4 linked regions of the Drosophila melanogaster genome follow. The protein of the gene in region 4 interacts with the protein of the main gene of each other region in a pairwise test. Each region holds a gene or a part of one and is shown on either strand. Other genes may lie near its edges.

What was found.
Region 1: the proteins of Tsf2 (region 4) and Tspo interact in a two-hybrid assay, tested with the Drosophila melanogaster proteins (one large-scale study listed by BioGRID).
Region 2: the proteins of Tsf2 (region 4) and CG13887 interact in a two-hybrid assay, tested with the Drosophila melanogaster proteins (one large-scale study listed by BioGRID).
Region 3: the proteins of Tsf2 (region 4) and Pex14 interact in a two-hybrid assay, tested with the Drosophila melanogaster proteins (one large-scale study listed by BioGRID).

Annotation. Positions count from the first base shown.
Region 1 is NT_033779.5:556,774-561,518, reverse strand, and holds Tspo (translocator protein), read right to left. Parts: upstream 1,908-4,745; 5' UTR 1,821-1,907; coding exon 1,482-1,820; exon of another isoform or gene 1,423-1,481; coding exon 1,204-1,422; 3' UTR 996-1,203; downstream 1-995. Other genes in the region: uncNacbeta (putative nascent polypeptide-associated complex beta subunit), read left to right, coding at 1-725; rempA (reduced mechanoreceptor potential A), read left to right, coding at 2,757-2,903, 2,978-3,576, 3,637-3,797, 3,854-4,745.
Region 2 is NT_037436.4:835,216-840,996, reverse strand, and holds CG13887 (uncharacterized protein), read right to left. Parts: upstream 3,137-5,781; 5' UTR 2,877-3,136; coding exon 2,373-2,876; intron 1,895-2,372; coding exon of another isoform or gene 1,844-1,894; exon of another isoform or gene 1,748-1,843; coding exon 1,565-1,747; 3' UTR 1,066-1,564; downstream 1-1,065. Other genes in the region: JMJD5 (jumonji domain containing 5), read left to right, coding at 7-939; CG13901 (uncharacterized protein), read left to right, coding at 3,546-4,214; CG42554 (uncharacterized protein), read right to left, coding at 4,444-5,061, 5,127-5,150; CG42553 (uncharacterized protein), read right to left, coding at 5,533-5,610, 5,667-5,781.
Region 3 is NT_037436.4:20,776,688-20,781,937, reverse strand, and holds Pex14 (peroxin 14), read right to left. Parts: upstream 3,140-5,250; 5' UTR 3,006-3,139; coding exon 2,895-3,005; intron 2,836-2,894; coding exon 2,533-2,835; intron 2,261-2,532; coding exon 1,832-2,260; 3' UTR 1,560-1,831; downstream 1-1,559. Other genes in the region: Pcif1 (phosphorylated CTD-interacting factor 1), read left to right, coding at 1-280; Pex16 (peroxin 16), read left to right, coding at 3,784-3,895, 3,956-4,869; pitslre, read right to left, coding at 5,231-5,250.
Region 4 is NT_037436.4:12,529,262-12,536,355, forward strand, and holds Tsf2 (transferrin 2), read right to left. Parts: upstream 4,464-7,094; 5' UTR 4,352-4,463; coding exon 4,291-4,351; intron 4,218-4,290; coding exon 3,790-4,217; intron 3,711-3,789; coding exon 3,577-3,710; intron 3,512-3,576; coding exon 3,351-3,511; intron 3,292-3,350; coding exon 2,840-3,291; intron 2,777-2,839; coding exon 2,612-2,776; intron 2,546-2,611; coding exon 1,487-2,545; 3' UTR 1,175-1,486; downstream 1-1,174. Other genes in the region: nst (nesthocker), read right to left, coding at 674-774; CG34242 (uncharacterized protein), read left to right, coding at 4,806-4,982; Pmm2 (phosphomannomutase type 2), read left to right, coding at 5,394-6,158; CG4069 (uncharacterized protein), read right to left, coding at 6,251-6,939, 6,999-7,094. UniProt on the Drosophila melanogaster protein: Iron-binding protein and component of septate junctions that form the paracellular permeability barrier in epithelial tissues.

The sequences.
Region 1 (4,745 bases), on a different chromosome or scaffold from region 4:
CTCTCGCTTCTGAAAAACCAGCGGATGCGCCAAAGGCCATTGAGGAACCGAAGGCTGCACCCAAGAAGGAATCACCACCACCCACAAAACCAGTGACGGCAACAGTTCCGGTAGCACCTGCCACTCCTGCTGAGGCGCCATCTCCTCTGGCTCCCTCCACTCCGCCATCGACTCCCACCTCGGTGCCGCCCTCTGCAGCGACAGTGACTCCTCCATCTCCCGCCACGGTGACTCCTCCGTCGCCTGCTGTAGTTACTCCGCCTCAGAAACAGTCGGCGGCTCCCCAAGCGGGAATCAAGAAGCAGGAGGCAGGAACGAAGACAAAACAGCAGCAGCCAGCCAACAAGCCCCAACAACCGCAAAAGCAGCCACCAGGAGGAGCAGGAGGATCAGCTGGGCCAGGAGGGAACAAGGGCGTGCAGAAACAGCCGAACCCCAATGCCAAGCCAGCAGTTGCTCCAAAGCCGGCCCAGGCCACTCCAAAACCCGCTGCTGCTTCTCCAAAAGCATCCCCCAACCAGACGAATCCACAACAACAGCAGGGAAAAGCAGCTAACAAAGCGTCTCCTCCAAAGCAAACTGGACCAACTGGGGGGCAGCAGAAGTCGGCGGCGAACGCCTCGAAGGCCACAGCCTCCCCGAAATCGGCTGCATCCCCAAAAGCCACCTCCCCGAAGGCCGGAACTCCTACCAATCCTGCTTCCGCCTCTGGGGGTCCCAACTGATCCTCCTTCAGTCTATTTTCTAATCGGCGCCCTTGCATTTCAAACTCACTCGCATTTTCAGAGCCCATTTTCGCCTTCGTTAATCTCTGATGAACCCGGGTACTAACCGTTTTTTGATTATTTGTGGCCTTTACATTTTTGAATAAAATTATGATTTAACAAAGACTGAAGTGAATCGAGAAATTCTTTCTCAATATCTTTGGTTATTCCATTGCAATGTCACAACAAATTGTAGCCTATTAATCGTTCTCGAGAATAGCATTGAAAATTACGATTCTTTAATTTATTATTAACACATAACACATAGGGAATTTTTGAACGTGCAGCAGCATATGATACTTTGAATTTAGCGCCCCATTGGAGGCACTGCTTATCGATATTTTATCCAACTTTGCCCAGCCCTGGTTCGATAGGTCGGAAAGCCCTGCAATTTGCATGAAAGACACCCAAAATTACTTGTTTTTCGTTTATCCTGGGCTTAACTCGACTTAGCGTGGCTGCTAGAGGGCTTCTCCTCGTCCTTGGGCGCCTGCTCCTTCTCCGGGTTCAGCTTCCAGATGGCGTAGTTCAGAGCCGTCGCGAATCCCAGCCAGGCGACGTAGGGTACGAAGAGCAATCCAGCGGTCTTGTTCACTCGGTAGAACAGAACGCCGCAGGCGGACGCGGCGGCCGTGAGTGCAACTATGTCAATAAGGCCCTGGTGGATGAAGCGGATTAGACATAACACCTGGGCTTGGTGATATCAGCAGTACTCACGCCCTTGATGTTGTGCTGCCCGAAGAAAATGGGCGTCCACGCCCAGTTCAAGGCCAGCTGGGTGCCGTACGCGATCAGGGGCAGTTTGGCCGCCTCGCCGGCGAAGCCTCCGCCATCACGCCACACCAGGTAGGAGCCGTAGCCCATTCCCGCGTACAAGGAGATCCACATCGGCGCAAAGACCGAGTTGGGCGGCTTGAAGGACGGGAACTTAAGGTTGGCGTACCAGCTCTGGAGATGCTGCCTGGTCAGCCGCCCGTTATAGATGCCGCCCAGATTGGGCAGAATCACGGCCCCGGCGATGCGGAGAATGTTTCCAGCACACGGACGATCAGCCATTTTCAGAGTTCGCACTGCAAATGAGGCGCAGTAGTGGCGAACCTTCTGGTTTCACTGTTTTGTTTGCCGGTGATTTCATTCGAATGCACGAGTATTGCGAGTTAACGGGGCGAATACGCGACGGATGATTGTGTGGGTAAGCTCCAGCGATGCCAATTTGGCTAGATTTAAACTAGCTAAAGTATGTGGAATGCAACTTGAAATCAAAGACGCTAGAATTAATTAATAGAATCGCATGGTTATTTAGAGCTGTGAACATTTGATTTCTGCCATGAAGGAATTCTCATGTTTTTCTTTAACATGCTATCTGATTAATAGGGATTTAATATTTATCTGGAATTTTGGCAAAGCTGCAAAGTCATTGCTAAGCCGTTAATAGCTGGTTGTCACATGTGCAGGGGAGGAGCATAATGCTTATCAATAGATTCCAAAATGATGTAATGAATGAGTAATGTCGTCGATCTATGGAAGTAATTATTATAATTATATCTACCCATTCGTATTTATTTAAAATTATCTTCGCTGCTGGGTGTCGGAATCACCCTGTGGGTAGGCAGATTTAACAAAACCCGTTAAGTTTTGAAAATAGAAATAGAACTGTATTGTTGGGAAGTACCATATTAAATTCCCTGGAAAAGTTTTGTTTAGCTTGTTTGTTTGTTTTACCCCATGACAAATCGTGCGATCAAGTGGTGAATGATAACTTGAGAACTCATAAACCAAAGAGTTATTTGTCGGTAAAGTGAATTAATGGTGAAATAAAACTATTGTGCTTATTTGCTCTTTGCAATATCCAATAACCTGGATCAAGTTGGTATCTCAATTAATCAATTGCTTAGGAGCAACCATGACAACCGTTGCTAGGCAAACACATTGTTACTGTGTTTTGGCTCCTGCCAAAACAAATTCATCCACTAAAGGTGGAAAACCGGTGTGATGACTCTCTACTTTGACACGAAAATCGAGTTCTTGGACTCGGATGCAGTGAGCACCATCAGCAGCTGGCATCCCAGTGAGCCGCTCTTCGCAGTGGCCTCTTTTAGTCCCGAAAGAGGCGGTTCAGTGACCATCTTTGCAGATACCGTCAGTATTAATCGCTTTGGTCGCAGACCCTGCCAAAAATCGGAATGTATATAATCTATATAATCAAATTGCAGGGTGAGCCCCAGCGAGATGTAACTTATCCGGTGCACGCCACTTCGCAAGCGACGGCACTATGCTGGCATCCGGAGAAGGCGCTCCTGGCCAGCGGTTGGGAGCACGGCGACATCCATGTGTGGTTCGCTGGTCACAGGGAGTTTGCCAGCGTGAACGCACCGCACAAGGCGGCCATCGTCCTGCTGCAGTTCAGCGAGCAGGGCGGGCGGATGGTCACGGCGGATGCCATGGGCTTGGTCACCGGATGGCGCTGCGATGGCCAGTACCAGTTCCTAACCATGTTCTCCCACGACCTGCGGGAGGTGTTGCTGCTGATCTGCTTCCGCCTTACGGTGGAGAGTGAGGTGCGCGAGGAGATGGCCAATCTAGCCAAGGCTGCTGTGGCAGGCGATGAGAACGCCCTGGACACCCTAACCAATTGGAGACCGCGCACAGCAGCCCGGAGCATGACCCATTCGGGGGTGCGGGACAACCACTGCTTCTACGCTTGCACCCAAGGAGGAGTGGTGTACTACATCAACCAAGGAGGCGCCTGTGTCGAGGTGATGAAGTGCGGATCACTGCCTCCCATTGTCCAGATGTTGTGGCACCCAAGAAAGTAAAGAGCTGTTGAGATCGAAAGGTTCTTTACCTGAACCCTAACATTATTCCATTCTAGGGACGCCGTCATTTGCCTGATGGAGGACTTGACAGTCACCTTGTTTTTGGTTGAATCCACAGGCATCCTTACGGAGCTGGATCGTGTTAAAATGAGCGGACGTGGAGGCGGTCGGCAGGGAGGCATCGCGTGGTCTGGAAACTCTTTAGCCATCATAACAGGTAGGATATATTATTCGATTTTTCACTTCTGTGCTAAATTTAAGACTAATTTTCAGGCGATTTTTTCGTCCGCATTTGGGACATCGAGAGAAGCGACAATTACCTATTGAAAATGGACCTACCCAGTGGCAACCAGCCAGGCTCATCTATGACCACTTTAAGTAATGGCACCATGTCCTCGTCCAACCAATTCTTTAGCCATGACAGCAGCGAAAGCAGCGGCGTTCTCCGCAAGACACCAAAGTACGGCCAGCTGAACGGCGAAATGTTCACCTGCTTGGCATATAGCTCTACGGGACAGACTCTGTGTGCAGGAACGTCCCAGGGGAATGTCTATACTTGGAAGAGGAGCGGCAGCAGGCTAGTCGGTGCCCCCGAAGATGCCTGGCAGCTGACGAACATATCTTCCGTGCGAGGAGCCATCCGCAGCTGCGAATGGGGATACAATGAGCTAGCCAAGCCCTGCATGCTGGTCAACTGCCTTTCCAATGTTTTCATGCTGAAGGAGCAACCTCTGCTCGCCGTTCATACCCGCGAACTGTGGGCAGTTCAGAGGTCAGCCAAATCAGTGCAATTGACGCACTGCAGCGGTCGGGAGGCCATTGTTCAGTCCGAGTTCGCCGTGACTGCCATGGCTTTGAGTGAACTGAGCTTGGTGATGAGTAATGGCAGGAGCATATCATCCTATAGCCTGCAGAAAGTGGAGAAGAGCTTGGATGAGTTCGAGGAGATCCTGCAGACAGTGGAGGGCACAACACCGACGACGGAATCTACCACCACTCCGTTGAGTCTGAAACTCCTGCAGACCTTTGCTGCCGAATGCTTAGCCTTGAATCTGTGCAACCAGAACATATTTTGCTTGGGTAGCAGTGACGTTTTTGTTTACTCCGTGGGAGGGGTAGTGCTTCACCGCATTCAAGCAAGCGATATTGAAGGAAAGATCATTGG
Region 2 (5,781 bases), about 12 Mb from region 4:
TTTTAGATTTTTTTCCTTCTCTTGGAGAGCACTAGTCCCGCCCAGAAGGATGCGTGCAGTGAGATCCTCGATGAGGCTCAACTTTTGGGTTGCATGGAGGATTGGAGTGAACTGAAAGTCGCCCTAATGGATTATCTCGACAAGGATGGAGCAGTAGCACTGAATTCCGCACCACTTCCAACTCTAGAGCCATTAACCCGAGTAACCTCCAACTGTGATATACCCCAACTGGACGCTCCCAGTCTAGAAGAGTTCCAGACAAAGTGCTTTGAGGCAGGACAACCCACACTCCTGCTCAACACCATCCAGCATTGGCCTGCACTGCACAAATGGCTGGATCTCAATTACCTTCTCCAAGTGGCCGGGAATCGCACGGTGCCCATTGAAATAGGTTCCAACTATGCCAGCGATGAATGGTCCCAGCAGCTGGTGAAGATCCGCGACTTCCTGAGCAGACAATTCGGAAAGGAACCAAGCAAGGCTGGCCAAAATATCGAGTATCTCGCTCAGCACGAGCTCTTCGCCCAGATACCAGCCCTCAAAGAGGATATATCCATTCCCGACTACTGCACCATCAGCAACGAAGATACCCCAGGAGCTGTGGACATCAAAGCCTGGCTGGGACCAGCTGGAACCGTATCTCCCATGCACTACGATCCCAAGCACAACTTGCTGTGCCAGGTATTCGGTTCGAAGAGGATCATCCTAGCTGCTCCTGCAGACACAGACAATCTGTATCCCCACGACAGTGAGTTTTTGGCCAATACAGCGCGAATAGATGCTGCTCAACTGGATCCTGAAACATATCCCTTGGTAGCCAAGGTGAAGTTCTACCAGCTGCTCCTGCAACCTGGTGACTGTTTGTACATGCCACCCAAATGGTGGCACTATGTGAGATCTGAAGCTCCTAGCTTCTCTGTAAGCTTCTGGTGGGAGTAAGCATTTTAATGCAGTTTATTGAACAGCAAATTTATGTAGGATGATCTCTGTTCAAGTTAAGATTAAAGTATGCACTGCAAAACCACGATAGATCACTAAATATGCGAATTTGATTAGCATTTCTGGGTAATTATCAAGGAAACATATTCGATGCCCTTTTCGCACACCGATAATGTAACGCCTCCGATTTCTAAGCTCCAAGTATGCAAACAGGTTGCGACGTCTGACGTCATTGCCGTGTACTATCAGACATGATGTGGACTATCCGCGCCAACAGATGAATCATCGAATCGATCACAACTGGATGGGTACTTTTTGGTTGTTCTTTTAATAGCCACGACGCTTTTTGGGTGTGTTACTGTGGCAAACAAAACTTAACACATACGAATTAAATACAAAACTTCGGACGAAACGAACATTGAGTTGAGGGACCATTATCAATATACCCCATTATCATTATCAAATGGTATATGTAGTTGTATCTATGAGGATTAACAATAAGATGTGTGTGCTTTCTATCGATTTGAAATCGTTATAATCTTTTAAATGTGCCTGCTTTCGCTGCCCCACCGCCATGCTTATAAGTCTTATCGTTATTTAAATGTTGGACTTGGCTCCAGTGAGTTTAATCATCCTTGTTTCCGCCTCCGCCGATGGTTATCTTCTTCTGCAGCTTGCTGTACTCCTCGGTGAGTCGGTCGTACTCGCGGTTGATGCTCTCCGCCTGCGACTTAACCGCCTCCTTGTCCTTCTTTTCGCGATTCAAGTCGGAGGTTAGCTCCTGGACGCGCTCGCGCAGCTTGTTGAGCTGCAAAATTCGGATTTCGTTTGAGTTTCGATTGGATTTTTGTTCGTTTTGGGTGTTTGGGAATGGATATAAGGTGGGTGCTCTAGGTGGGGATACTTAGGACACTCGGGCGGTGAGTCCTTGCACACGTCTCCGCAGTCTTGACAGCTGTTTAAAGAGTTAACAAGAGGTTTAAACTTTCGAGTGGTGGCTTCTGTTTATCGTGGCCCAACATATGTGTTTGGGTGTGGTTTCAAAACGTTTAGCTGCGGTCAAAACAAAAGCACTAAGCCTATGACAAATTCACTCGGTCTTCAAACTGATTTAAGTTTACGTTTAAGATTTTAATCATGATATATACTGGTATTTAAAGTTCTATATCGTTAATAGACTACATTTAAAGCCTTTTCGTATCTTATATTCAAAACCAATTGAGAAAATGTACCAGAAAGTGGAATGAAGTATAGATTTTATAGATTTAGTCGGCTAAAGACATTATCTCGCCATATTTTGACCACACCTTCTATATGCATTGCCATATCTTTACAGCTGGTAGTAGCCAATTGAACTCCAAAGTCTTAGGTGTTAGCTCTCTAGACATGCCATTCCTGGGGATCGGATGCAGGGGTTTGGGACGTGGACTCACCTCGATGAGAGTGGTATCCTCGCCGGCTTCCTTGGCCTTCTCGGTGTTCTTGTTCTCCAGCAAGGAACGTGCGGCTGCAGTGGCGCTCTGTGCCTGCTTGAAGGAAGCCTCGCTCTGGGCCATGAGATTGGCCTGGGTGCAGATCAAGTTTACCAGTCGCCGGATGACCAGGGCAAGGAAAATGGCGAATCCAGAGATGTAGAAGTTCCGCTGGGCACGGAACAGCTTCATGCTGTGCTGCATCTCCACGTTCAAGTGGACCTCGTTAGACTGCTGCAAGCCGGAGTACTTGCGCATCTCGCGAATGGCCTCCAGGAGGAAAATGACCAGAATTCCCATGATCAGCAGGAAATATATGTGCGCCTGTTGTCCCAACATCGATAGGAATTTGGACTTGAAGAACCGGTTCCAGCGGTAAGGAGTGAGCACCGGCAGCACCAGCAGAAGGACCAGTGCGATTTCCGCATAGAGAAATCCGGCGATCAAAGTCCACACCAAACTCATTTTTAATGTTTTATTAATTCCCTTTTTCGTTCGATTTTCGCTTCTTGGATTTTCGCTTTTTTCGACTGCCGCCTGTAAGCAGAAATGCGTCCAAATTAGCTGCTAAGTCTACGGATTCGGGACGGACGGTCTAGTGGCTATTTATAAACTACGGCCGGAGTGACTGGCTGCTTACTTTAAATAGCAATAATTAAATCGCTGCCGTGATGAAATATGCGTATATTTTATGTAGTCACTGCGCCGGCCACGTCAACTCTGTTTTTTTGTGTACGCACGGGGCTGCCAACTCGCGCGCTGGAATCAACTGTAAATTGGGTAGCCAGAAAAAAGCTGAATTCATGGAAAATATTCGAATTTCAAAATCATTTTATTAGTAAGTAAAAAAAATGGCAAGAATTAGTACGTATTTTGCATTAAAATTAACCATTACCTCCAAATATTACAAGACAAATCGATCATAAGGTATTGTATGTAATGCTTTAAAGTGCCTTGGTAACCCGGCTTGCGATGTAAACAAGCTGGCAGCTGGGTTGCCAGGTTTCCATCGCAATGTGCTTCTCAACAAATTTTCAACTTTGCGCCATCGATCAAATTTTCTGCCCCGTTCAGTTGTTATATTCGAATCTCCGGCGGAGACGTGTGCCTAGGTAATCCCATCAATCCCCAGAGATGTCCTACCAGAACTGGCTAAACTACCTGCAGGCGGCGGAGAAGAACTCCATGATAAGTGGCCGCGCCCGCAAGGTGCTCTACAAATTCCCGGACGGCAGGCAAATGGCCGAGGAGTACAACATGGACACGGGAATCGTGCAGCGGCGGGCCTGGAAATCGAAGAGCAACAAGATCATGGGCGAGTCGGAGTGGGAAATCGAGCTGGGCGATGAGCCGCGTCAGTTAAACTGGTCGGGCAACAAGCCACCAGGATCTGGCGAGGAAACGGACTCCCTGGCCGGCGGAGATTTCACCCTGCGGGAGAGCAACACCGCGCCACTGCTGACCAAGCGGATCACCAAGAAGAACATTGAGTGGCGCATCCGCAACATGCCCTACTCCCTGGACACATACAGCGTAACCGCCGATCCCGAGAAGCGTGCCATAGTCGTGCGCACCTCGAACAAGAAGTACTACAAGGTCATCCCGGTCCCGGAACTGGACCGCTGTGGGGTCAAGCCCGCGCAGGAGAGCCTCTCTGTCCACCACCAGTTCAACACGCTGATCATTACCTACCAGAAACCAGATATCCTCTGCGAGATGGAGGCACAGGTGCTGCTTCTGCTCAAGAATGTCGACACCGAAACCGACATGGATGATCTGCTGAAGGGTCTGATGGCCAAATAAACGACTTAGATTGTAATACACAAAGTATTATTATTATTATTATTATTGTGAATTAACCTAATTTAATTTATTTAGAGAATTCCCAAATACACTTCACAAAGGGAACTGCACAAAACGTTGAAATGAAGAACGTGCCTAAAATTAAATCCTAATCACCACTCAGCGGGCACTGCATTACCACGAGATCTTTCAAATTAGTTGAAGTTTTACAAATGGATCTTAACCAGGCCTATTTCTGGAAGCTCTCAGCCATGCCGGCATAGCTGGCCAACGAAGGAGCCGAGGAGCTGGTGAACAGGCTGTAATCGAAGGAGGGCAACTCCAAGGGCGCCAAGGATGGCAGGTCCAGGTCTCCACTGCCCGCCAGCCGCTGATCGCAAGTATCGTGTTCCTGCTCCTCCTGGGCAGAATCGCTCTTCTTCAGCGTCTCCATATGGGGCTCCGAATGGGCCAGTGTGCTAGAGGCCTTTGCCACCAAGGAGGAGGTGAACTTGGCATCGAAGTCCTGCACTGTTTTGTCGATTGCCTTGGCCACCGACTGAGCGGATCCTCCTGCGCCTCCACTTGCTCCGGCTTCTGGTCGCAGGGGCAGCATGGGACTGGTTTCCTTCAAGGGAGCATAATCCTTCAGCTTGTTCAGACCATGCTGCGTCTTTCGCATCTCAATTTGACGCAGTTTGCGCTGAAAATCGAGGGTCAATGTGTCCAGAACTTCCTTGGATTTGGGCAGAGCCACCCGTTTTTGGGCATCCTGCATGTAGATTAGGGATGTTTCCAGCGCTTTAATGGCCTCCTCATAGCGGTGATTGCGTATAAATCGCTCCGACCTTCGCTCGTGGAAATGAGCCTTTGATTTGGGTAGGTAATTCCATTTAAAACCATGTAAATTCGATGTTTTCTTCGGGTTCTTACCAAGTTCAGTGGTGCGCAGTCCATGTTTTTGACTGTTTTCCCGTCCTGATTTGAAATTATATGATTGCTCTTGTAACGTTGAAATTGCCAGGCACCTAAATTTTAATAATTATATTCCCAATTGCAATATTGCCTGTTTTATGCAAGCAAAATGTCGTCTATTTTTTTGCAAGAACGCAGTTTCCAAAATTTCACTTTTGTTTACATATGTTTTATGCGCGAGGTGTGGCAGCTCTGTCATGACAACAATCGATAAGAGTCGTATGTATCGTTTCGAATTTTTAAAAACCAATCGAATTCAAATTTGAAGGATCTTTATTTAATAATTATAACAACTTTGTGTAGAGCAGTTTTTGAAAAAAAATCACATAAAATTTATTTGAATAGCCTTAACGCTTATTGGTTTTTAAAGCGGTCTTCCTGTTGCCTGCTTACCTTCGGTAAGTGCAACTGAAGCGTGTACAAAAACAGGCACATTGATACCCTGTAAAGCACAGACATTAAAGACAGGACAAAATCACATTTTCCATTCATGCATACCTGCATCTTAGCTGATCTCACAAAGGCCTTATTCGAAGTCACAGTGAAAATTTGCCTGGCCATGCCGAAACTAAAGATTTTCAGACTTCGCTCGTTTACGTTGGCAGTGAAACGT
Region 3 (5,250 bases), 8.2 Mb from region 4:
GACCATCAGCAACACCAGCAGTAGCAGCAATTTGGTGGCCGCCTCGCCCACAATGAGTGTGCAAAGCGATTGCTCTTCGCCCTCCTCGTCGACGATGTCTCTTTCACCGGCTCCTGCTTCGGGCGGCTATCCGGATGGAGTGACATCTGCCACAGCGGCAGCGGTGAGCATTACGGCAACGACTACCACATCGGCTGCTGGAGCGGGATCTGCATTTGGCCAGGCCAATAGCATCAGTAGTTCCGCATCCACGCAAGCGGTCATCAACTCAGCCGTCTAGATTTGATTCTTTTTGGGATCTTGCTATCCACACATGGTTCTATTTTGTCCATACTATCTGTGCACTTTCTGTTAGCATAAATTAGGGTTACATTTGAGGAAGAAAAAACCAATTGGGCCTGAAGCCACACTAGCGGCCATGCTCCCAGTTCTGAGGTTTAGTTTTGTGTAATCGGATGATAATCGCTTTAATTTAAACAAACGCGGAAGCCAAAGGGATGGCAACTTCTGTTTTTCCGAAAAAGTACAACTATCCAATTCCGTTTTCAAAATGTATCGTTGGAACCAGGAAAACGCATATACATATTACGCAATATTTTGTAATTTCTTATTTTAAAAACTTAATTTGTAACGTTACACATCGCTCGGTGTTAATCAAATGATGCCTGTCCGAATGGTAAATTACGTTTGGGTCAAACAACAGGCTTTAAAACACTAAATATTTTGTTACACATTTTTGTACTTCTTGTCAAAGCTTTAATTTTCAAACGTACACATTTTTGTACTTCTTGTCAAAGCTTTAATTTTCAAACGTACACAGTGCTCGGCCTTTGGCAGCTGGTATTGCCCCCATCGCAAGGTATAATTAATTGTAAATATGTTATATTTAATTTGAAATAGCTGATAAAAATGCCGGCCTGGCCGCTGTTTATCTTATACGATTGTACCCAACAAACAAGGGCCAAGCTACCCAACAAAAGACTCTAATAATGCATACATAGTATGGGTAGGGGTACTGTTCTCTATCCTTGTTTCAGGGTATTTCGCAATGGTTTGTCCATTCACAAAACGAAGTGAGAAATAAAGAACACATTCATGTGAACTGTGAAGCCCTTAACAATCGTTTGTGAGAATATTAACTTACTAGAATACATTAACTTTTACGAAAATGGCAAACAATTATTTGAATACTAAATTATCGTATGTACAAATCGATAACTAACGTAAGTAGTGAAGGAAATTTAATGAAGGGAATGCGCAGAGAACCAAATTTGTAATTGAAACAAAACCATAACTAGGCACCGCACAATAAATAAATAATTTAAATCCGTTAAGGATCTGGGTGGAGTCTTCAAGGAGCTTGTAGGCAAAACCTCGAGGTGCTCCGCCCGGCATAATCTTAAATCAAACCTAAGGGAATTTAGCCAATTTATAGAAAGTAGCACTCGGCAAAATTTTTAGAATCCAATTATCGTCTAAGTCGAAATTTATTGTCTAAACCGATATGCTATCCCCACCCCGTATGTACCGATAAACAAAAAACTACACAAAGCATTTTTGCGCTTAATTAAACAGTTTCTTTCAATTCAAACCTGTTATTATGTAAACTTTTTATTATTACATTGTATAGACATCGTATCGCATAAGTGTGTATATGTGAGTGTGTGTATGTACTTTTGGATATGGATTAGCTGTTGACTATAAAGAAACCTTAAATGCTATAAACGCAAAGAAAAAAAACCAAAAGTCTTGAAGGCATTTAACGGGGAAACTCAATTTACAGCGTAACTATATACTACGTCTATATAGCCAGCCTCGTATTCTGATTGCATTACATGATCTCCAAGCTGGAGTCACTATTCTTGGTGACCACCTCTGTCTCCGACGAGCCAGACCCGGATCCAGCATCATCGCCCTTCTCGTTGTCGTCCGACCCGCTGTGCCGGTGATGGTGATGCGGTGAGCCGGCCAATTGCCAGGCGGGAATGGATGGCACTGCGATCGGAGCCACAGGGCCGGCGAACTGTTTTCGGTTCAAAAGCAGGCCCTTAATGGCATCCAGATCGCTACGGAAGTTACTAAATTCGCGGTTCAGCTGCTGGGCGTGTTCCCTTTGCTGTGTGGTGATCAGATCCCTGACCGCCAAAATCTCCTTGTTGAGGTCGTTGGTGCGGGTCTCTACCTTCTTGTCTATGTCGTCCAGGACTTCATCGACCGCCTTCTTCTTGGACTTGCCGAACAGGTAGGGCGCAATGTATTGCTGAAATTATACGGGTTTTAGAAGTTATTAGCAATCATGGACTTTGGACTGGTGGACCACTTAAAACTTATTTATGCGTCCTAACACTTTTACAAAATGTGTTAAATACTAAGTAAATTCAACGTCGTCTGGTAAAAGTGTCATCAAATATATGTGTAATGTATCTAAGCCTTAGACAAGATGGCGATCTTTAAATTCGCACTCGAGTTGGTGGAGTAAATATAATAAATCTTTTTAAAAGACCCCGAAATAGAGATCCCACTGCATCTCACCTTCCAGAAGATGTAGACTGCGTAGACGACTCCGCTGAACAGGGCTGCCGAATGGATGATTTCCCTGATCCGGCCCAAGACAGTCGGCTGCGGCTGCAGCGCGTGCAATTGGGATCCAATGCTAATGACGGTGTTCGGATTCGGATTGGGCTTGTTGGGGTCTTGGGTGAAAACGCCGGCCCGTTCACAGGCCAGCTGAATTTCGTGAGCGGTGAGACCTTTGGACCGTAGGAACTGCTGCTTCTGGATAAGTGTCGTGTGGCGCACCTTGGTGTTTTGTAGAAAACTGACTGCAGTGGTTATCTGCGGCGAATAGTCGGATTATAGATTAGGCAAACTTGAAGGGGTTGAACAAATATTACCAGCGATTCTCGAGGCAATTGCTCATCTACGCCGGCCTCGACATCGTTCTGCACCGAGGTAGCCGTCGCCATGACGGTGGTGTCCCCAGTGTCCGTGTTGTTGCTGGACATCTGTATATCGACTCTTAATTCAATCTTGCCTAGCTAATACACACGAAAACGGAGTGAATCCGAATTCACGAGCAATTCGATTACAAAGTGCACAAAAACAAAAGTGTGACCAAAGACTTTGCTGCTCTCGAAATTACTAATGCATTAGCGTTTCTAGGGTTATTATGTATAACGTTAAGGTAATTTGTAACGTAATAAAGATTTGAACTTGGAAAAATGTTTTTACCGAAAAATTTGGTAAGAAATGTTTCTATTATAAAGAACATAGTACCTGGGCTAAAATTTTAAATGCATAATATACCCAATAAAAATATACTGCAGTATAAAGAATCAGGAAACTTGAATTAAGATGCCGAGACTAAACAAGCAAATCTTTACATTGAAGAACATTAAAAGGGGCTATGAAAGGTTGGTGGCAGATATGCCAAATGTGGTTCTTACAAATTGTGGGTCCTTAATTATTAGTTTCTTTTTCTATGACGTGTAAGCACCAATGTGGTAAAATTTGAAAGTGTAATGGCGATAAGCTCGTGACACTGGTATTTGGTATTTATTTTTGTACCAATTTTATTAATCCAAAGCGTTTAATCAACGCTCTCCGTGCTTGCATTCATATATGTATTCATTTTGCGTCACCTTCTATTTTGTGTTGCATGAAAGCACTAACGCCTTGTTCAAAACGCCAGAACACCACAACTGCACCGATTTGATTACCTGTAGACCGAAACACCTCATTATTTTTATTATTTGGAGGAACAGACAATATTTTCCGGATATAATGGACACTCTGAAGGGCATGCTGAAGGCGTACGAGGCGTGGGTGGGCAAAAACCCCGACGTGGTGGGGGATTTTGAGACCACAGCCAAGTGGGTATCCTACTTTATAGCAGGTAAAGTGAACTCCTTGCTTACATAGAGCCTACAGACTCATCTCATTGGCCGGCTTCCAGGTCGCATTTCCTCATCAAATGTGGTCAGTGAGCTGGTATATACACTGTCAAACATGCTGGTGTTCTACAACGACCGGATCATCGAAAAGGCACGCAATTCCGAGGAGAATTCGGTGATCCACCTGCAATCGAAACTTTGCTACCGTCTAAAGGTCACGTTGACGACGCTCGAATATAGCGAGGTTTTCATCGAGATATCAGCCCGTCGGCTTTTCGGTCAATCCGGCAAGTGGCTGGTGATAGCGCTAATACAGGCCTTCAAGGCAGCGGGCCGTTTCTTTATCTTGAAACACTCAACCTCGGATATAATCACCTCACCGCCCATCGCCGCACTGAATCGAAGGGCCAAACAGAGGAAGAATTCGGGGGATGGTGTGGCCTCCTCCACGAACGATTTATTGCAGTCCCAGCACTCCATTACCTTCCAATTGAAGCGATCTGGCCGTGTGATTCGTAAAGTGGAGGGTGCTCCTCCCCTGCAATACCGCGACTTCAAGCTTCATATAGACAACAATGAAGCGGCGAAGACGCAAATTCCGAGGAAACTCCTGCAAGCAGAATACCTGTATATATCGAAGCCACTAATCCACCTGGTCGCCATGGGGCTGTTCGGCCGGAGAAGTTGGAAGCAATATATGGTAGCATTATCCATTGATTTGTATAGCATTCACCTCTACCGCCAGCATCGCGACCTAATGTCCAAGCAACAAAAACTGGAGCTGAGCAGGCGATGCATAAACATCATGTACTTCCTGGTCCGATCGCCGTTCTATGACAGCTTCACCAAATCCAGACTGGAGCGGATCCTCGACTTTGTGGCCACAAGTGTGCCCATTGCTAAGGTGGTTGCCAAACCCCTTAAAGATTACATTCCCACGTGGCAAAGCACTTACTTCTATCTGTGGTCCACTTAGGCATTTCAGGTAGAGCGTTAGTATTCCCCTAGGCTAAGTTTTAAAGTTACAGGTGTGGACGCATTCGGAGTGTTGAGGGTGGGTTGAGTTTTGGTCCTTGAAAAGTTGTTTGCACAATAAAACGATGGAGTAATTTTCGATATGTTTATAGCCAACTTTCATATTCCTTGAATTGACCCACCCACATGGCATTGCCGCTCTTGAGGTGAAAAATGATTATACATCCCAATTGCTTTGTATGGCTTTTTAAATTATATATGGAACAATATTTATACACATACAATTAAACGAAATTTTCCACTTACATCGCTAACTATACATAACAATTAATCGTAATCGTAATGGGCTAAAACACACAGAATCAGAACTTCAGACTGAATC
Region 4 (7,094 bases):
GCGGAGTTATTACATCAGGATTTTGTTTAGATACAAAAGTATCTTTTAGCTTGTATTTTGGAGTTGGAAAATGTTTTGTACCTAATGTTGTTTGTTTATATGTGTGTTATCACTTTAGCTATCTATTTTATCTTCGCTGGATTGATAAGCCTATAGAAGCACTGTGTATTGCTCATTTTAGGCGTTGCAATTGCTTTTATCAGTAGGTGTGTCATGGAAACTTTGTTATCTGGCTGTAAAGTGGTTAGAAAATAAGGGCGCGGAAACCACAAACTATGTAATCAAATACTTAGTTGGTTCATTTTTCACAAATAACAAGTTATTAATCATTGAGATTTGAAAATATTGCAACTTGCACATGTGGCACTAGTTCGCTGCCCGCGACTGTGCGTCAGTATGTATGCACATATGCACATGCACGCACACTTACGCACATACAGGCAGACATAACGGCGAAAGAAGGGCATGTCCATTGATAAAAGGTGAACAATATCTAAAAATAAACGCCAAATTCCAACATCACAGCCCTGCAACCGCCCATTTATCAAAAAAAAAAAAAAACCACCAACAATCGCCGTGTGCTAATCAAATGCGCCAACGTGTGCATCGTGTGGGTGTGTTAGCATAATGATTATGATGATTATTAAGATCGTTAATGGAGGCAACTACTCACTTGCCGCGAAAGCCAGCTGTTCCATATTGGATGGTCTCCTTGGAGGTCTTTGGGTACATCTCGCGGGCGAAGGCGTAGACGGTGCGCAGGTTAATAGACATCTTGCGATACTCGAGGGCGGTGCCACTGGTCCAGAGCGAGGTGAAAGGTTCCGTCCGGTTTTTCCGGACTTTCGAAATTTAACAATTCCACAGATGTGTGCAGGCGGGTGTGACCGTCGTTTCGCGGCACTGTTCCACCCTTGCTTATGCGGCCAAGCGGTCACACTGCGCTGAAACTTGTAACTACGCTATTTTCTTTAATTTCAAACATTTTACTGGCTTTATAAACAATACAGAGTGTTTTAAGGTTAAATGCAATATTTACCAGCGTAAATTTCAATAACATCTATGTTTCAAAGCGATGTTAGCGCACATATTCAATTTGAATTTGGCGGCTACAATTGCGGTCAAGATATTAGGATTCTTCAAATGATACTAATTCAAAATAAGCAAAATAACTCCTTTATCTAGTTATTTTATTTGTATACTTACATAAGCGGTTGTAAAAGATTCGGCTTACATCTCCTAGGTACATTTTTTGGACGGTCTTAGTTGGTATGTACACAAACAAATACTATAATAAGGCACAGGACTTTATAAATTATAAACTATAGCCTTCAACAGATATTTTTCGGCTAGTTAGAGTTTCATTTTCGGACGGAAGGGATTTCACATTTAACTTAATCATATTTGGAATGTAAAAATGTTGATATGTTTTCTCTTTGTGCTAGAGATGCTTGTAGAATTCTGAAATCTAAGTGAGTCTAGTGGCTTAGAGCATTGCAACCAGCGAACCCACGAGGAGCAGGCCCACGGATAATGCCAACTGGGAGGCACCAGCATAGCAGTCGGTGATGCGGCGTGCTCGCATAAAATCGCTGCCCAAATAGGCATCATACCTGCGCTTATTGGGCGGAATTACTTGCAGCTGCCGCGTGGCGTCCTGGAAGATCAGATCATAGTGCCCGATCGGCGAGGAGAACATGCTGAAACTGAAGGCGTCCACTTCCTTGCGACCGTACAGTTGTTGGGCATAGGTCAGCAGATTGATGTAGGCATTCATCTGGGTCTCGTTGTAGTTGACTCCGCCGCGGGTGACCACAGCATTGGCCTTAACCTTGCCCAGATTGCAGCGCTTGTAGTCCTGGATCTCGGCACGAGTACCATCCGTGCAGAGCAGCTCAAAGTCATCGTTTAGGGCATTCCTGGCCCACCATTCCTTGCGTTTGCCGCCCGTGCTTTCCATCACCGTGGTGTGCTTCATGAAGGCCACGTGACCGCCGCCCTCGACGAGGCAACGGAATGCACCCGTGTGCCCGTAGTATTCCTCGGAGGCATCGCGACGACAATAGCGATAGCTAGTTCCATGACACAGATCGCACATGCTGTCGTAGGGCACACCGGTGTTGTACTCATTGCTAATGGCACCCGGCACGCACGACTTGGTGAAGTACTCCGCGGCAGCTCGAACCGAATCGCATCCGTAGGGACGAATCCAGCCGTTCGAGATGAAAAGCGCCATCGGATATGTCCAGCCAGCGGCGGTGTTAATGCCCGTATGGCAGGTATTCTTACCCTTCAGGTAAGTTAGCTCCGTATCGGGATCATCCTCCTTGGCCACGGCAACCACATAATACTCGGGCTCGCCCAGATTGTACACCTCCGACATGAAGGGCACCAGGTCGTAGTTGAGGCCACCAGTGTAGACATCGCCGGCATCGAAAACGGAGATGTCTGCTTTGCCCGCTTCGATGAACTGCATGCAGTTGATGTGGGAGTGCATTTTCTTGCAGATGAGTTCTGGTTTCAGGAGGTGAGCTTTCAAGGCAGTCTAAAAGTGTTTTTGTAAAGGATCATCAACTCATCTTGCTATCCATATATTCACTCTTCAACTCACCCTCATCTTGATGCATTTATCAAGCTCATTCTCCGAAGTCACGCAAAGCGTCATCGCTGGAACTGGACACTCACGGATGCCGTAGATAAAGTTAATGGCAGGGCCTAGGTACTTGGTAAATGACTGATCATCTTCGGGAATCACGGTTAGAGCGCGACTAGAATCCTGTCACAAAACAATTGAATGTTAAGTATGTATTTCGGATCACGGAAAATATGATCCACTTACCTGGAACAGCAAATTTGGCTTGCCATAGCGCTTCGACTCGAAGATGCGGAACTTCTCATAGAGTATGGAAGTGTTCGTGCCGTCCTGCTGGTTTCTTTCCTCTGCAAAACTGCTGTCCAATCGTTCGCTGCGATACTGATCGTATTGATTCTGCGTTCTGTACGGATCATTATTATCGAACTGGCCATAGGCATTCTGATCGTTGATGTTGTTGCGGCTGTTGAAGCTTTGTCCTCCCTGCCTGCTCTGATCATCACGTGTGCCATCGGAGTACAGCTCGGCAATGCGCTTCAAAAACTGCTGATACTGCTTGCGATCGCTGAAGCTGCGAGCCGAAGATGTGACAATGGCATCGGCGGGCACTTGGCCCCAATTACACTGGCGATAATCGTTGATGGAGGCACGACGACCATCACGACACAGCAGCTCAAAAGTGTCGGGTGCTATGTTCTCTAAAAAACGCAGCTTAGATCAGTAATGGGTTTTCAGAAGTTTCCCTTTGGTAACTCACTGAATTCGGTGGTTTGCAGCATTTCATTCACAGTCGAATGGCGCAAGAAGGCAACATCTCCTTTTTCAAGCAGACATTTGAAGGCGCCTTCGTAGCCGAAGTAGGGATCTGCAGATGAGCAGCGTCCTCCGGGTATCTTTCCAGTGCAAAGCGTACAAAGTCTGGTTTGAAAATTGATTTGTTGTTAGTTAATGTGTGTAAAATTGTGGCTTTTATGCGTCATTACTTATCGGAGTTGTCGCCAATTGGATTGTGTTTGTCGGAAAGCGAGTACACAGCACACGAATTATTGAAATAGCTGGCGGCCGTCTTCACCTGGTTGTTGCAGTCCACCACTTCCATGCCGCCCTCCCTTTGGAGCTGCAAAACGATAAAATTTGTTTGTTAGTTGCCTAATGAAACAAATAAACAATCAACTTAAAAGAGGAGTTCTACTCACCGTGTGAATGGGCACAATCCAACCGGCCAAGCTGCCCACCCAGGGGAAGCACACCCTCTTGTTGCGCATGTCGCGCAGATTGTTCAAGTCTGGTAGAGATCCCTTCTTGATCACGGCTACGGATTGATAGTCCGCAAAGCCGCCCTCCAGTTTCTCCTGCATAATGGGTATGAGGGAGTTGTACCGTCCAGCAGTGAAGACATCGCCCGCATCCAGCGTGGTGATGTGTGCCTTCTCGCGATCAATGTGATGGATGCACTCATCCGCACTGTAGGCCATGAAGCAGGTGAGATTGAGGAACACCTCGTCGAATAGTGCCCGATCCCGCTCGATGGCCACCGTAAGGTTCTGGCATTTGTACTGCTCCGCCTGGCTCTTGGTGCACCACACCATCCGTGTGGTCTTGTGCTCATCGTAGTGATGTTGTGCTGCAAAATCGTGGTTTTAACTCATGCCAACGCCCTAGAAATGGGCGACTTTCGTATTCCAGCCGCAACTTACCGTTAGCGAGCGTAAAACATAAGGCGCCGACTAGAGCCACAAAAACGAGGCTGCTAGCCATATTCGGGATATAAGAATATTAATAAGTGTATTAACTAAAAAGATCTATCTGCAAAAACAATTACTCAAACAAAACACCACACCCAAGCCCAGCTCAAGGAAGCCAGTGTAACCAGAGCGGGCAGAAATAGACATGATTTCAAAAAATACCAACAGGTACACACAGTGGAGAATGCTTAAGTGAGATATGAATCAAGAAACATATTTAGCATTCAGGATATTTCTAGTTTAATCTATACCTATATCTATTTTTATTATATATACAGTAATCTTGTTTATTTATATTTTACTTTCTATCAGGTTATCTCTTCTGTAGTATTTACTGCACTTCACCGGTGACCACAGTAGTGTGACCACACACTTGGCGTTTTCTAGCATCTTACGGTCAACCAGGTGTTTTGTGTTTTATAATAACAAACCGAAAAGTCAGCTAAAATATTCCATATTTTAGCTAAATGGCAGTCCTGCGTGGTTGGAGATTCGTTGGATTCGTGTCCTGCATCGTGGGCGCCGTGGGCCTCACCCTATACCCCGTCATTGTGGACCCCATGGTTAACACTGAGAAATACAAAACCCTGCAGGAATACAGCAAAATCAAGAGAGATGAACTGCAGCACATTAAAAGGCAGTAGAACCCCCTGTTATGCTACACTTAAGAACCCAAATATGTGTATTCTAGTTTGCCTGATAAAGAACTGCAATGTACAAATTGCTATTAAAATAGAAACTATTTGTACCCTGACAGCATGAACTCCATGAATTAAACTGTTACCTATACATGCAGGAAAATCCAAATGATTGTGCTTGAATGTTTATACTCTCATTGTTTTAAATAGTAAACCTAACGTAAAAGGCAATTCAAAACATTAATTTTGATTGCACTTGGATTCCGGAACTGGTTCCCCTTGCCGGTGCATCGAAAGCTTTAGGGGATTTCTCACCACTGCGTTGCCGCTTGTAAAATTCTTTATCTCGAATCATACGTGGACATAAATATCTGGATATTAAACACCTGCTGATTTACCACAAAATTTAAATGCAAAATGACCACCGCCGCATTGAAGCGTGATGAAATCCTGCTGCTCTTCGACGTGGACGGCACGTTAACGATGCCCAGATCCGTGGTCACTCCGGAGTTCGAGGAGTTCTTCTACTCGCGGGTTAAGCCGAGGGCGACCATCGGAATCGTCGGAGGCTCGGATCTGGAGAAGATGTTCGAGCAGCTGAATGGCAGGAAGATACTCAACGAGTTCGACTTCATATTCCCGGAAAATGGGCTGGTGCAGATTGAGGGCGGAAAGGAGGTGGGAAAGCAGAATATCATCATGCATTTGGGCGAGGAGACGGTGAAGCGTTTCATCAACTTTGTGCTGCGCTATCTGTCCGAACTGGATGTGCCCATCAAGAGGGGCACCTTTATCGAATTCCGGAATGGCATGATGAACGTTTGTCCCATTGGCAGGCAGTGCACTCGGGAGGAGCGCAACATGTTCGCCGAGTACGACATTGAGCACAAGGTGCGCGAGAAAATGATCAAGGACCTGAAGCAGGAGTTTGCCGATGTGGATCTCACGTACTCGATTGGTGGTCAGATCAGCTTCGATGTCTTCCCGCATGGTTGGGACAAGACCTACTGCCTGCGACACATCGAAGCGCACTACAAGTTCAAGGAAATCCACTTCTTTGGCGATAAAACGGAGCCGGGCGGCAATGACTATGAGATCTATAGCGATCCTCGAACCATCAGCCATAGGGTATATACTCCCAAGGATACGCAACGCATTCTCACCGAGATTCTGGAGCTGTGAGAATTTCGAGCTTACTCAGCAGTTGAAAATATTCCATTTTTATACATGTGTACAATTGTTAACCAAATTTAATATATAGTCACTGGAAATTCTTAATCCGTGTCCATGTCCGAGCTGCTGCTGGAGATATCCTCCTCGCTGCCACTGCACTCCTCGTCGGAGCTGCTGCTGTCGCTATCCTCCCATTCGTGGCCCTTCAAGCTATTGGGGATTAGCACCTTCCATTCCAGTTTGTGCAAGTCCAGGGCGTAGAAATCGTTGTAGGTCAACTGCTTGTCGTCCTCTTCGAAGATGCCACCGAAAATATACAGCGTTCCCTTGCACACGCACATGCCGGGATTCATGCGCGGAGATGGCACATTCGTCGGCTTGGGTTTGGCGAATAGGCTGGGTATTTTGGACACGAATGGCGTGGTACTGGTACTGGGACCGCCAACGGTGACCGTGAAAATGCCATCCGTGGTGGTGGTCACTGGCTTATCAACAGCCGACATCTCCACATCTTTGCTCTCCTCCGAATCCTTTTTCTCAGCGCTGCTGCTTTTAGTTTGGATCTCCTGCAATCTCCATGTTTGGGAGGTCAAATCGAAGGCCAGGAGATCATCGCCGAACTGTCCGTGCACATCTTCGTCGTCCTCATCGACGTCCATAACGCCACCGAAGGTATAGGCCTTGCCATTCGCAGCCACAGTGCAGCCGACGCTGCTACGCGGCTTGGGCTTATATCCACCTGGTTTCACGGGTGCCCACTTGTACTTGTTGTCTGCATCGCCGGCGTTTTCTGAACGGAAACAGGAGATATTAATATAAGTAATATAAATCAGAGATTCTAAATCTTACTATCTTGACTCAAGACAAACATATCCGTGTGTGTTACTCCTCTGTCCGCCTCCTTCTTCATGGCGGCCCTCGAGTAACCGCCCCACACGTAGATCT